Linked DNA regions of Callithrix jacchus. The protein of the gene in region 1 interacts with the protein of each later gene in a biochemical or structural test. Links are inferred from orthologs where the notes say so. Each region holds a gene or a part of one and is shown in the gene's direction. Other genes may lie near its edges.

Region 1 (3,570 bases):
TTGGACCTGTTGGTTTTTCTCAAAGCCATCAAGACTCAATTCTTTGCTCTGTAGCCAAAGGCCATCCTTTCATCTCTGAGCACTATTGTTATAAACATAAGCTGTTTGTCCCAAGAGGATCTAGGAGAGAGTGTACCTGGCTCCATGAGGTCCATCCCTACTGTTAGCCTCTAAAGTCAGCACAAACTTCTGATACATTACTGCTATGCTTAGGGACTACAGCACATCATTTAATTTTGTGGATAAAGGTACAAAGGAAGATGTTCCTTTTGTTTTTGATCATCCAGTGTTGTAGCTCTCTTACCTTTCAGGCAATTCTTTATGTCTAGTTTTATACATTCTTGCTATAATTTCAGTCCACTTCCAGTGTGATCTCAATTGGTTGACTCTGCATCCTCTTTGCATCAAACCTGTAGAAAGCTAAATGGGCTTCCCTTCTCTCCTGCACAGGGGCTTTGTGTTTTTAACTACTCATCACTTATTGTCTTTCCAGAGTCCTGGAACAGCACAAACTCAACAAGGACCAGTGGGAGGAGCGGATCCAGGTGTGGCATGAGGAACACCGCGGCATGCTCAGGTAAGCTTGCCCCAGCAGTGGTGGGCCTCACTTCCCTTACAGGGAGAATGATAATGCATTCTGAGAAGAAGAGACGGATGACAAGGGACATTGGTGGATGTGGGAGAAAGAGGAAACAGGGACAATAGAAGTCAAACTAGGACCATTACAGGGCTGTTTTTTGTTTGCTTGTTTTGTCGAATGGTAGTAACTGGTAGCCCAAACAGTTTTGACTATCAAGAAATGGAGGGGACCTCAGGATGTCCAGGAAGCTGCTGGGCCACCAAGGACTACCCCGCTCCTCACCAGAAGGAAATGAGGAAGGAGCTCTTAAACATGACAAAGCATTTTTGAGGGTTGTCTAGTTGCAGAACAAATATCATTTTGCCATCACTACACTCTGAGCCCTGCTAAAAATGTACCTGTATAAGAGGCTGTCATAATGAATGAGAGAAGGAAAATTGCTCCTATGGCAGCCAACATGCCAGAGGCCAGCAAGGGTCAGTCCATCTTTATTCCCTTTGGGAGCATAGACCCTAGGTTTTTGCTAGGAGATTTTGCTTTGCAAAACTCATGTTGTGCTCTGTTCTCTATCATCTACTTGCTTTTTATCCACTTTCCCACTCCTAACAGCAAAATCCTTGTCAGAAGTACAGCGCAAGCAGGCTTTCTCTCTCTGGGTCTGACTCCCAGGCTTCGTTTTTGACCCGCAACTCTGTGTCATTTAGGGAGGATGCTGTCCTGGAATATCTGAAGATTGCTCAAGATCTGGAGATGTATGGTGTGAACTATTTCAGCATCAAGAACAAGAAAGGCTCAGAGCTGTGGCTGGGGGTGGATGCCCTGGGTCTCAACATCTATGAGCAGAATGACAGGTATATCTCAGATCTCTTTTAGTTTGTTTAGGTCACTTTTACATCTAGGTTTCACCTTTCACCAAGGAGCATGGCCATACCTCTTGGGTCTCACCTCAGTTCTTTTGTCTACCTAATTTAGTCCAGCCCAGATGATTTCACAACTTCCCTTAGGCCTCTAAATCCTGTCTTGACTAGACTCACACTGTCAACTATAATAGTCACCAGCCACATGGGGGCTATTCAACACTTGAAGTGTGGCTACTTTGAATTGAGATGTGCTGTAAGTGTAAACTACACACTGGACTTTGAAGATTTAGTGTAAAAAACAGAATGTGAAATGTCTCAATATTTTAAAAAATATTTATTTACATGTTCAAATGATAATATTTTAGATATATTAGGTTATTTAAACTTACTATAATTTTATTACATCTATTTCTTTTTACTTATTTTCATATGGCTACTAGAAAACTTAAAATTATATATGTGGCTGGGTGTGGTGGCTCATACCTGTAATCCCAGCACTTTGGGAGGCTGAGGAGGGTAGATCACCTGAGATCGGGAGTTTGAGACCAGCCTGACCAACATGGAGAAACCCTGCCTCTACTGAAAATACAAAATTAACCGAGCGTGGTGGCACTTGCCTGTAATCCCAGTTACTCAGGAGGCTGAGGCAGGAGAATTGTTTGAACCCAGGAGGCGGAAGTTGTAGTGAGCCGACATCGTGCCATTGCACTCCAGCCTGGACAACAGGAGCAAAACTCTGTCTAAAAAAAAAATTACATATGAGACATTCATTATGTTTTTATCAGATCACGCGGGCCTAGTTTATTTTATTGGGATATGTAATTGGTCTCATATGATGATTATGTGTTTGACCTATAATCCACTCACTGTAGTCTTATCTCACTTGCCTATATTTTTCACTTCATGTGCTCTTGGTGAGGATGGAGATCAATAGATTATTGTTCCATATAACTCCTGAATCTTGGAGTTCATTATTTACCTTCTCTCTAACTTTTGTAAGCTTGGTAGAAGAGACTCAGTTAAATAGAGCTGGGGATTCCCTTGAGGAACTGTTACAAGTTCCGTGCCTCAAACAAAAACATAACAAAACAAACTTGAGATGAGGAATCATATGTTAGTTGTATCAGGAGATCCTTTAGTAAACTCTCAGTGCTGGCAACTGGCCTGGTGGCATGTGATGACACTGGCTGAGCTGGCACTGAGTCTGTCTCCCCCAGAGAGAAGTGTTTGTTTGGCCAGGCTCAATGGCTCATGCCTGTAATCCCAGCACTTTGGGAGACTGAGGCAGGAGGATTGCTTGAGCCCAAGAGTTCAAGACCAGCCTGGGTAACATAGTAAGACCTCATCTCTATATATTTAAAAAAAGAGATAGAAACACAGAGGCTTGGGTGTGACAGTGAGGGCAAGCCACCAGTACTCTATGTCCTTCTTGTCTGGCCCTTGTCCTGATGTTATTGGTTTCCATTTCTACAGACTGACTCCCAAGATAGGCTTCCCCTGGAGTGAAATCAGGAACATCTCTTTCAATGATAAGAAATTTGTCATCAAGCCCATTGACAAAAAAGCCCCGGTGAGTGATTCCTCTTTCTGATCAAGACTGGTATTTGCCAAGGCCTGCATAATGAACAATCATGCTATTCTATTTTTGTCTTCCTTTTCTGAAGGGTGTGTGTGTGTGTGCACGCACGCATGTGTGCACGTGCATGAACAAGAAACATGAATAGAGATTGGGAATGGAGGGGGATGTTGAAGCCAAGAAATGGCCAGCAGACATTCTGTACCTGTTACCACTCTGCTGCCTGTTTCCCTCACTGTGGACGAGGGAGAGCCACAGGCAGTCTTAAGCACTGCTTCTTAGCTATTGTCTCTGCTGCATTGAGGTTCTGGGGTGGAAACAGAATGCATCTCATATTTCCAAGCCCCTGAGTCCCAAAAGTGGACACTGTTCACATATTTGATTGTTTTTTTTAAGATGGACTATTGCTCTGTCGCCCAGGCTGGGGTGTGGTGGCATGATCTGGACTCATTGCAACCTCGGCCTCTCAAGTAGCTAGGATTACAGGCATGTGCCACCATGCCTGGCTGATTTTTGTAGTTTTAGTAAAGACAGGGCTTTTTTGTTGGCCTGGC
Region 2 (3,570 bases), on another chromosome or scaffold:
ATATGAACATTAAGAAGTATATTTAAAACATTTTTTAATGAGGTAACCATTTTATATTAATCTAAGTTTGCAAGTTAGTATCATTTTCTTCTTCTGGTAGGATTCCCTTTACGTTTCTTGTGCAGATCTTCCAGAAACCCATATGCAGATAATTGGAGCTCGTTTTCTGTAACTACCCCAGAACTCCCAGCTATCTGTCTCCATAAATGTTGATCTCTATGTCCTCATCTCAGGAAAGCCATGAGGCTGTTTAAATTTCTTCTTATGTATATGGCCCTTAAATTATCTCCAAGCAGAAGGCCAGAGTGATATAGGACTCACATAATTTGTTTCCCTTCTTTCCAGTATTACATAGTCCTATGCTGTCTGTTGACCAGTATCTGCATTCAGTCATTTAATATACTTGTCCAGTTTTCTTGTTGTTTATGGCAGTAGGTTAAGTTCACACTTGTTACTCCATCATGCCTGAAAGAACTCTCTTCAAGTATTTTTAAAGAAAGCATTAGAAATTTTAACATAAAATAAGTATAAAATGCACTATGCTGCTTGTACAGATAATGTGCTAATAGACATTTCACAAACATATAAAGTAGGATAATTATAATTGAATGATCTTTATAATTATGTAATTGTTATTATAAATTCTATTGTATTAAAATTCTTAAGCATTAAAACAATTTAAATTATAGAACTAATTAAATTTGTAATGAATCAGGCAGGAACTGTTTATATCAGGATTTATACTAAATATCATAAAGGTGATTTTTGGATACGTAGATTTTATAATTTTGTTTTGACATAAAATGAATTCTTTGTTTTTCTAAGATAAAGAGTAGGTGAATTAAAAACCATAAATAATTTTTCACAAATGCATTCACATTGTTTATCTTTAATATGATTTATTTATTGATTTTTTTCTGGAAAATATATTATTTTGAAAGTTCTGCCTTTTCCTTATTTCATAAAATAATTATTGCCAGCCAAATTCATTGTGTTTATTTTAATATCATTCCATAAAAGAAACCATGAAATATGATATTCAAATAGGAATATATTCAAAATTGCTGACTTAAATAATTTGTGTGATTATAACATTTGAAGCAAGATTTGAAAAATTCATAAGAAAAATTCAGGTAGTTCACCCACTCTCTTTCCCAGTCTGCAGGACCTCATTGCAATTGTCTGTATAAAAAAATTCAGAAAAACAGAAAGTTGTCACATTGATCAGATGGCATACAAAGTTTCTCTGCTCTCTGTACACACATGTATTTGGTATAGCATGTGTAACCACTGATTGATTTGGCTCTTTTCTTCTGGACTATGAGTGTCTCTCAGAAATGGATTCATTTTTTTCCTGCATATTATTATTCAGTGCTTAACCAGTGTCTAGTCTGTAACAGCCATTCCATAAATATTTATGGGCGAAGAAAAATGTTGTTGAATTTTTTTAAAGTGAAAACCAACATGGCTTATCAATCTCTATTTTAAGGATTTTACAGAGGAAATGGACTGTGAAATTTCCATTAATAAAAATAGGTTTAATCTTCCATGATTGAACTATGATACTAGGATCTTATGATCGAGTAAACGTTTCGTACTCACCTTCATGTTATTTTATCATTTTAAAATAGGAAGTGAAGGCTCATTCCTTGTGAAAAAGAAATCAAATTCAATTAGTGTAGGAGAATTTTACCAAGATCTTGCATTGCAGCGTTGTTCACCAAATTTGCAAAGGCATTCCAATTCTTTGGTAAGTTAAATTGTGATTATGTTGTGTTTTGCTGGTGACATTCTCTTGATAACTAGGATTTATGTCAAAGCTAGGAACAATTGGTAGGGATTTCCCTGATGCATGAAAACTGTAATTTTGAAATGTTTTATACACACACACAGACACACACACACACACACACACACACACGCACACATGAAAACATATAAGTTGTAAATGATGCTAAATTCACATTTGTAGTCTTTTGAGTATGTAGGGTATGACTTTGTTTGGGACATATATGTACTGACAGTACAATTCAAGATGATTTTCTTCCTTCTTTTCAAAGCTCCATGTCTGAAAAGAGCCCAAGCTAGACCTGTACCTAATGATGTGGGTTGGTCCCATGAATACTTTAGCTAGAAATCTTATGGTGATTTTTAAGAAACCAGACAGAAGTCTGAAGGACACTGAACAAGATGGAGTAGCATAGTATCATTCATTGTTCATTAAAAAAAAATATATATATATATTAGTGTATTGAAAGTCATTTAATTTTTTAGACACAGTTATTATTTCAACCTACTGTCTATTTTTGAACTATGGCAGGACTATGCCATATTTGCATGAGGAGTTTGATAACTCTAGTTGAAAAAATTGGGAGCCATCTTATTTTCAGGTTCACTTTGGAAGATCTATTCTAACCTATGCTCTAATTTTGATTATAGCTGAGTACATATGAGGGTTGTTTTATGTTAATTCTAGATTTTAAGATGGGTGAAATGAATGACTATAGTTGAATAGGTTAACTTTGCTCTCAGTCTTTATGTATGCTCTTTCAAATTTATGTAAACAGCTTAGTTATAAAAAGTAGTTTGATTAATGAGAGAAATTATATGTATATAGCTTTTTGACTCAACCACTCTGTTTTTCAGTTTCCTTATATTTAAAACAAAGGAGAAAGAGTAGGTCTTTCTAAGGTCATTTGAGCACTGAACTGGATTGTTTTCTTTTATCTTCATAATTGGGTTCTTAGTTTTTATTTGCCTATTTTTTTTCCTTATTATAAATACCATTTAAGCCCATTAAAATTTTGTGTTTCTTTCCTTATAAAAATGTCCTCTTCTCCAACAAATGACAGCAATACATCATTATTTTTTAACAGGGACCCATTTTTGATCATGAAGATTTACTGAGGAGAAAAAGGAAAATATTATCTTCAGATGATTCACTCAGTAAGTATTTGGATGTAATCATAAGTACATAGATATTTTGGGCAGAATGCAATGTTTTGTTGCATTTCCTCCAATTATTCAAATACTTTTGGTGACAGTTTCATCTTACATAATCTAAATATGTATTTACCTAATGATTTCTTCCATAAGCTGTAGAAAAATGAAATATATATTTAAAAATTTACCTTTCCTGAATATTATATAACACTTTAATACATTTTTTGCAAATTTTCTGAAATGTAGATAATACCTCCACCAATGCCACTCTTCATCCTCTTCTCCAGTTTTCTTTCTTTCTTTTTTTTTTAACGCCACTTACACCACCTGATGAAATGTTGTTTATTTACTGTTCATCTCTGCCACTGGAATGCAAACTACATAGTTTGGTTTTCTACTGAATCTTCAATGCCTTGAAGAAAGCTTGATTACTAGGAGGTGCTCAGTAAACTTTTACCACATGAATTTAAATGATTTGTTTATATTTCCATTGTTTGTTTTTGACAAAAGGGTCATCAAAAGTTCAATCCCATATGAGGCATTCAGAAAGTATTTCTTCTCTGGCGTCTGAGAGAGAATATGTTACATCACTAGACCTTTCAGCAAATGAACTAAGAGATATTGATG
Region 3 (4,293 bases), on another chromosome or scaffold:
CCCAGGTTCACGCGACTCTCCTACCTCAGTCTCTCGAGTAGCTGAGACTACAGGCAGGAGCCACCAGGCCCAGCTAGTTTTTTTTTTTTAATTAGTAGAGATGGGGTTTCACTATGTTGGCCAGGCTGGTCTCAAACTCCTGACCTCAGGTATTCCTCCTGTATTTGGCCTCCCAAAATGCTGGGATTACAGGCATGAGCCACCACACTGGCCTGGCAAATTTTTAATTTTTTTTTTTTTTTTTTTTTTTTGAGACGGAGTTTTGCTTGTTACCCAGGCTGGAGTGCAATGGCATGATCTCGGCTCACCGCAACCTCCGCCTCCTGGGTTCAGGCAATTCTCCTGCCTCAGCCTCCTGAGTAGCTGGGATTACAGGCAGGCGCCACCATGCCCAGCTAATTTTTTGTATTTTTAGTAGAGACAGGGTTTCACCATGTTGACCAGGATGGTCTCGATCTCTTGACCTCACGATCCACCCGCCTCGGCCTCCCAAAGTGCTGGGATTACAGGCTTGAGCCACCGCACCCAGCCCTAATTTTTAAATTTTTTATAGATGACAGGCCTGAGCCACTGCACTGGGGCCTCTCTCTTATCAGGTAGTCCTTATAGTCCTTATCAGGCTTTGACTGTGGGCCCCTCACACTGTCTAACTTAACCCTCCCAGGAACTTTGAAGAATACTATTATTATTCCTATTTCACAAATGAAGAAACTAAAACAGAGAGATTAAATGCCTGACCCAGGGCCATCTAGATGGCAGGCGACGCAGGCGGGAGTCAAACTCAGGTATCCCTGCACCCCCCATCCTGCTTCTGTGGCCTCCCTGCCCCCAGGCTTCTGCTGGCCCCTGTCTACCTTGGAATAGGAACAGCCCCTCAAAGACCTGCAGGGAGCTGGACACCGTGGCTCACGCCTATAATCCCAGCACTTGGGGAGGCTGGGGTGAGTGGATCACCGGAGGTCAGGAGTTCAAGACCAGCCTGACCAACATGGAGAAACCCCGCCTCTACTAAAAATACAGAAATTAGCCGGGCATGATGGTGGGCACCTGTAATTCTAGCTACTCAGGAGGCTGAGGCAGGATAATTGCTTGAGAACCCCAGAGGTGGAGGTTGCAGTGAGCCAAGATCGAGAAACTGAACTGCAGCCTGGGCAACAGAGATTCCATCTCAAAAAAAAAAAAAAAAAAAAAAAAAAAAAAAAGAGACCTGTAGGGGGAACTGGGCCTGTGGTGGGCAGAACTATTATCTCAGGAGAAGCAGCAAACCTCTGGTGACCGCTGATGACCTCAAGGCTGGGTGGGCAGGGCCTTCACATCAGCTCCAGGCACACCCAGCCTCCCTGTCCCTGGCCTCACCACACCCCTCTCTGTTCTCCACCCTTTGGCCTCCTTGCCTTTGTCCACCGTTCTGCAGCCTGACACCCTCTTCCTTCTCTTAACCAGAGAAGTCTGCAGTCAGTAAACATCAGCCAGTGCCTACTGTGTACCAAGCACTTCCTGGGTGCTGGAGCCCTGTGGAAGCACACACGCATAGCCATGAGGGCAAGGGGCTGGCATTCCAGCGTGGGGAGAGCAACAGAAGCAAAATAAGAAGGTCCATTACAATGGTGAGTTAGAAGACGAGAAGTGCCATGGAGAGAAAGCAAGGAGAGGGGTTACAGTCCAGAGGGAGGGGGTGCGATTTAAATAGGGTGGCCAGCTGGGCTCTCTGGCTCACACCTGTAATCCCAGCACTTTGGGAGGCCGAGGTAGGAGGTTCACTTGAGCCTAGGAGTTTGAAATCAGCCTGGGCAACAAAGCAAGACCTCATCTGTATAAAAAATTTTAAAATTAGGCCGGGCATGGTGGCTCACGCCTGTAATCCCAGCACTTTGGGAGGTCAGGGAGGATGGATCACTTGAGCTCAGGAGTTCGAGACCAGTCTGGCCAACATGGTGAAACTCTGTCTCAATTAAAAATACAAAAAATTAGCCTGGTGTGGTGGCACGTGCCTGTAATCCTGGCTGCTTAAGAGACTGAGGCAGGAGAATCGCTGGAAACCAGGAGGAGGAGGTTGCAGTGAGCCGAGATTGTGCCACTGCACTCCAGTCTTGGAGACAGAGTGAGACCCTGCCTCTCAAAAAAAAAAAAAAAAGAATTTCCAGGCTCATTTCTTACTTTCCCTGGCCTAGCTGTGGAATCAGCCACTTCCCAAGGAACCCTTGTTCCTTCAAGGGCAGTGATACTTATTTATTTATTTATTTATCGAGACAGACTCTTGCTCTGTTACCCAGGCTGGAGTGCAATGGTGTGATCTCGGCTCACTGCAACCTCTACCTTCTAAGTTCAAGGGATTCTTCTGCCTCAGCCTCCCAAGTAGCTGGGATTATAGGTGCCTGCCACCATACTCGGCTAATTTTTGTATTTTAAAAGTAGAGACGGGGTTTCACTATGTTGGTCAGGCTGGTCTCAAATTCCTGACCTCAAGTGATCCACCTGCCTCAGCCTCCCAAAGTTTTGGGATTACAGGTGTGAGCCGCCGCGCCCGGCCAAGTGGTATTTAGAAACCAAGATCTGGATGTCAGATGGCTGAGTCCATTTTGAAGGTAGAAATAGCAGAATTTGCAGATAGATTGGATATGGGGCATAAGAGAAGGAGAGGAGTCTCTAGCTTTTTATTTTAAGTGTTTAATTTTAATTTTTAAAAACTAGAGAGAGAGTTTTGCTATGTTGCTCAAGCTGGTTTCAAACTCCTGAGCTCAAGCAATCTACCTGCCTTGGCCTCTCAAAATGCTAGGATTATAGGTGTGAACTGCTATACCCAGCATCGCTATCTACCTATCTACCTATCTGTCTATCTATTTATTTTTGGGACAGGGTCTCGCTCTGTTGTCCAGGCTGGAGTGCAGTGGCAGGATCTTGGCTCACTGCAGCCTCCACCTCCCGGGTACAAATGATTCTCGTGGCTCAGCCTCCTGAGTAGCTGGGATTACAGTTGTGTGCCACCCCACTCAGCTAAGTTTTGAATTTTTAGTAGAGACCGGGTTTTACCATGTTGGCCAGGCTGGTCTCGAACATCTGACCTCAAATGATCCGCCTGTCTCGGACTCCCAAAGTGCTGGGGTATTACAGGCGTGAGCCACTGTGTCCGGCCAACCTAAGAGGTCTTTAGCCTTGGCCTTTGGCCCTTAGACGGACTTGGCTTAGCATCTCAACTCTAGCACTTACTGGTTGTATGAGTCTGGCCAAATCTCTCAATCGTTTTATTTTTCAGATTCAGTTCTCAGTTTCTTCACCTGCAAAATAAGGGTAGTGGTACGTGTTTCACAGTGCTGTCCAGAGGAATAGATGCGCTGTGAATGGAAAGTGCTTGGTCCTGAGGCTGGCTCATTCAAAATGCGTTGGGCAGCTGGCTTAGCTTCTCTACACCTTGGCTTCCTCACTGGTAAAATAGCCTTGCTCTGGGGAGCCACTGGGGCCAAACACTGAGACCCTTTGGTGCTGTACCTGGAAGACGGCGAGAATCAGTCTGTGACCGTGGCAATCAAAGTCTTCTAAGTGTTGCCTTTTTTTTTTTTTTTGGGATAGAGTTTCACTCTTGTCACCCAGGCTGGAGTGCCGTGGTTTGATCTTGGCTCACTGCAACCTCTGCCTCCTGGGTTCAATAAATTTTCCTGCCTCAGCCTCCCAAGTAGCTGGGATTACAGGCACCCGTCACATGCCCAGATAATTTTTGTATTTTTAGTAGAGATGGAGTTTCGCCATGTTGGTCAGGCTGGTCTTGAACTCCTGACCTCAGGTGAACACCCACATCGGCCTCCCAAAGTGCTGGGATTACAGGCATGAGCCACAGTGCCTGGCCCATTTCTGTCTGTTTTCTTTTTTTTTTTTTTTTTGAGAGAAGGAAAGAAAAAAAAATAAGTAAAGGAGAGGAAGAAAGAGGAAGAGAAAGAGGGAGAGTAAATGGAAATATTGCTTTATTTTGAAAAAAATTGGGTATTAATAATGGCCAATCAATGTTTCATTTAAACTTATGGGTAGGTGTGATGTGGTATTGACAAGAATGTATATTTTGTGTATTTGAAGTGGAGAGCTCTATAAATATTTATTAAGTTTACTTGTTCTGGATCTGAGTTCGAGTCTTGGATATCCTTATTAATTTTCTGTCTCATTGAATCTAAGTCTCCTATCTGGGTGTTAGGATCGTTAGCTCTTGTTGTTGCATTGATCCTTTTACCACTATATCTTTGTTGCTTTAAAATCTATTTTATCCGATACAAGAATTGCAACTCCTGCTTTTTATTTATTTATTAT
Region 4 (2,498 bases), on another chromosome or scaffold:
TTTTTTTTTTGAGACACTCTTGCTCTTGTCGCCCAGGCTGGAGTGCAGTGGCATGATCTCAGCCTACTGCAGCCTCCACCTCCTAGGTTCAAGCGATTCTCCTGCCTTAGCCCCCTGAGTAGCTGGGATTACAGGCATGTGCCACCACGCCCAGCTAATTTTTGTGTTTTTAGTAGTGAGTAGTTTTGCCATGTTGGCCAGCCTGGTCTCAAACTCTTCAGCTCAAGTGATCCGCCCACCTCAGCCTCCCAAAGTGCTGGGATTACAGTCATAAGCCACCTCGCCCAGCCTTGTTTTTTTGTTTTGTTTTTTTGAGACAGTCTGGCTCTGTCGCCAGGCTGGAATGCAGTGGCACTATCTCAGCTCACTGCAGCCGCCTCCCGGGTTCAAGCAATTCTCATGCCTCAGCCTCTGAGTAGCTGGGATTACAGGCACATACCACCATGCCTGGCTAGTTTTTGTATTTTTAGTAGAGATGGGGTTTCATCATGTTGGCAAGGCTGGTCTTCAACTCCTGGCCTCAAGTGATCCACCCACCTTGGCCTTTGAAAGTGCTGGGATTATAAGCATTAGCAATCATGTCTGGTCTGAGGCCAGGGTTTTGTAGGTGTACCTGGGAGGGCACTCAGCCTGGGGGTCAAGTCTCCCGTGACTGTGCTAGAGTATCCTCAGAGGCTGCCACAGGGCTGGTGAACCAGGAAAGCCCTGAGTGCCCAAATCTGATTGGAGAGAACTGAACTAATCTCTGGTAGAGGCCAAACCAGCTGTTCAGGCCAGAGGCTGGGAGAGGCCCACAGTGTCCCTAAACATGACATCCAGGAGGCATGTCTGTGGTTTGGGAGACCCACATTCTAGCTTGGGATCTGCCACTTACTGATTGTGTGTCCTTAAGCAATTCACCTTCCCTCTCTGGGCCATATATTTCTCCATCCATAAAAGAGAAAAAAGCCAGGTGCAGTGGCTCACGCCTGTAATCCCAGCACTTCAGGAGGCTGAGATGGGTGAATGACTTGAGGCCAGGAGTTCGAGACCAGCCTGGCCAACACAGTGAAACCCCATCTCTACTAAAAATACAAAAATAGGCCAGGCGTGATGGTTCAGGCCTGTAATCCCAGCACTTTGGAAAACTAAGGCAGGCAGATCATCTGAGGTCAGGAGTTTGAGACCAGCCTGACCAACACGGCGAAATCCCGACTCTACTAAAAAAAAAAAAAAATGCAAAATTAGCCAGGAGTGGTGGTGGGAGCCTATAACCCCAGCTTCCTGGGAGGCTGAGGTGGGTGAATCACTTGAACCCAGGAGGCGGAGGTTGCAGTGAGCCGAGATCGTGCCACTGTACTCCAGCCTGGGTAATAAGAGAGAGACTCTGTCTCAAAAAAAAAAAAAGAGAGAGAAAGGGCTGGGCACAGTGGCTCATGCCTGTAATCCCAGTACTTTGGGAGGCCAAGATGGGTGGATCATTTGAACTCAGGAGTTCAAGACCAGCCTGGGCAACCCGGTGAAATTCCGAAAAAAAAAAAAGACCGGGCCTTGTGGCTCACCCCTGTAACCCCAGCACTTTGCCAAGCTGAGTAGGGCAGATCACAAGGTCAAGAGATTGAGACCATCCTTGCTAATATGCTGAAACCCCCATCTCTACTAAAAATACAAAAGTTAGCTTGGCATGGTGGTTCAAGATTTTAGTCCCGGCTACTCGGGAGGCTGAGGCAGGAGAATCACCTGAACCTGGGAGGTGGAGGTTGCAGTGGACTGATATGGCGCCACTGCACTCCAGCCTGGCGACAGAGGGAGACTCTGTCTCAAAAAAAAAAAGAGAGTAGAGAAGATTTCAGTAGGTTGTTGTGTGCATGAAGGTGGATGACCTCTTAAAGGTCTAAGGAAAGATATCAACAGGAACTTTATCTTAGTCATAAACTTGAATCCCTTCCTTCCTCATTTTGTTTTTTAATTAACTGCGACATCCTTGAGAACAGAAAATTTTGTTTAGCACCTGGCAAGGTGTCTGACAACATAGGAAATGGTAATCACCGCACTAATGATAATAGCAGACACCGTGACTGGCCCAGTTCTAAGCCCTCTTAAATTTATTAACTCAAAGCTCAAAGTTCTCAGCAGGGCAGCCCTGTCTCCACCCCCACCCCTGGGGGATGGGTTGCAGGACCCCCTAAGTGCCATCTTCCCTTCCTCCCTCAGGGCTCCCGGAGCGGGTGGAGCTGGCACCCCTCCCCCCTTGGCAGCCGGTGGGTCAGAACTTTACCCTGCACTGCCAAGTGGAGGGTGGGTCGCCCAGGACCAACCTCACGGTGGTGCTGCTCCGCTGGGAGGAGGAGCTGAGCCGGCAGCCTGCAGTGGAGGAGCTCGCAGAGGTCACTGCCACTGTGCTGGCCGGCAGAGGTGACCACGGAGCCCATTTCTCATGCCGCACAGAACTGGACCTGCAGCTCCAAGGGCTGAGACTGCTCGTGAACACCTCAGCCCCCCGCTGGCTCCGAACTTTT

Evidence for each region.
Region 2: of the proteins of MSN (region 1) and LRRK2, one has a biochemical effect on the other in vitro, tested with the Homo sapiens proteins (9 studies listed by IntAct). The link is inferred for Callithrix jacchus from reciprocal best matches to the Homo sapiens genes MSN and LRRK2.
Region 3: the proteins of MSN (region 1) and SPN form a complex in vitro, tested with the Homo sapiens proteins (2 studies listed by BioGRID). The link is inferred for Callithrix jacchus from reciprocal best matches to the Homo sapiens genes MSN and SPN.
Region 4: the proteins of MSN (region 1) and ICAM3 form a complex in vitro, tested with the Homo sapiens proteins (2 studies listed by BioGRID). The link is inferred for Callithrix jacchus from reciprocal best matches to the Homo sapiens genes MSN and ICAM3.

Annotation. Positions count from the first base shown.
Region 1 is NC_133524.1:62,810,834-62,814,403, forward strand, and holds part of MSN (moesin), read left to right. Parts: intron 1-493; coding exon 494-577; intron 578-1,284; coding exon 1,285-1,431; intron 1,432-2,913; coding exon 2,914-3,010; intron 3,011-3,570. UniProt on the Homo sapiens protein: Ezrin-radixin-moesin (ERM) family protein that connects the actin cytoskeleton to the plasma membrane and thereby regulates the structure and function of specific domains of the cell cortex.
Region 2 is NC_133510.1:35,425,043-35,428,612, reverse strand, and holds part of LRRK2 (leucine-rich repeat serine/threonine-protein kinase 2), read left to right. Parts: intron 1-1,631; coding exon 1,632-1,750; intron 1,751-2,876; coding exon 2,877-2,946; intron 2,947-3,453; coding exon 3,454-3,570. UniProt on the Homo sapiens protein: Serine/threonine-protein kinase which phosphorylates a broad range of proteins involved in multiple processes such as neuronal plasticity, innate immunity, autophagy, and vesicle trafficking.
Region 3 is NC_133513.1:29,836,066-29,840,358, reverse strand, and holds the start of SPN (leukosialin), read left to right. Parts: upstream 1-1,492; 5' UTR 1,493-1,604; coding exon 1,605-1,607; intron 1,608-4,293. UniProt on the Homo sapiens protein: Predominant cell surface sialoprotein of leukocytes which regulates multiple T-cell functions, including T-cell activation, proliferation, differentiation, trafficking and migration.
Region 4 is NC_133523.1:9,527,413-9,529,910, reverse strand, and holds part of ICAM3 (intercellular adhesion molecule 3), read left to right. Parts: intron 1-2,193; coding exon 2,194-2,498. UniProt on the Homo sapiens protein: ICAM proteins are ligands for the leukocyte adhesion protein LFA-1 (integrin alpha-L/beta-2). ICAM3 is also a ligand for integrin alpha-D/beta-2. In association with integrin alpha-L/beta-2, contributes to apoptotic neutrophil phagocytosis by macrophages.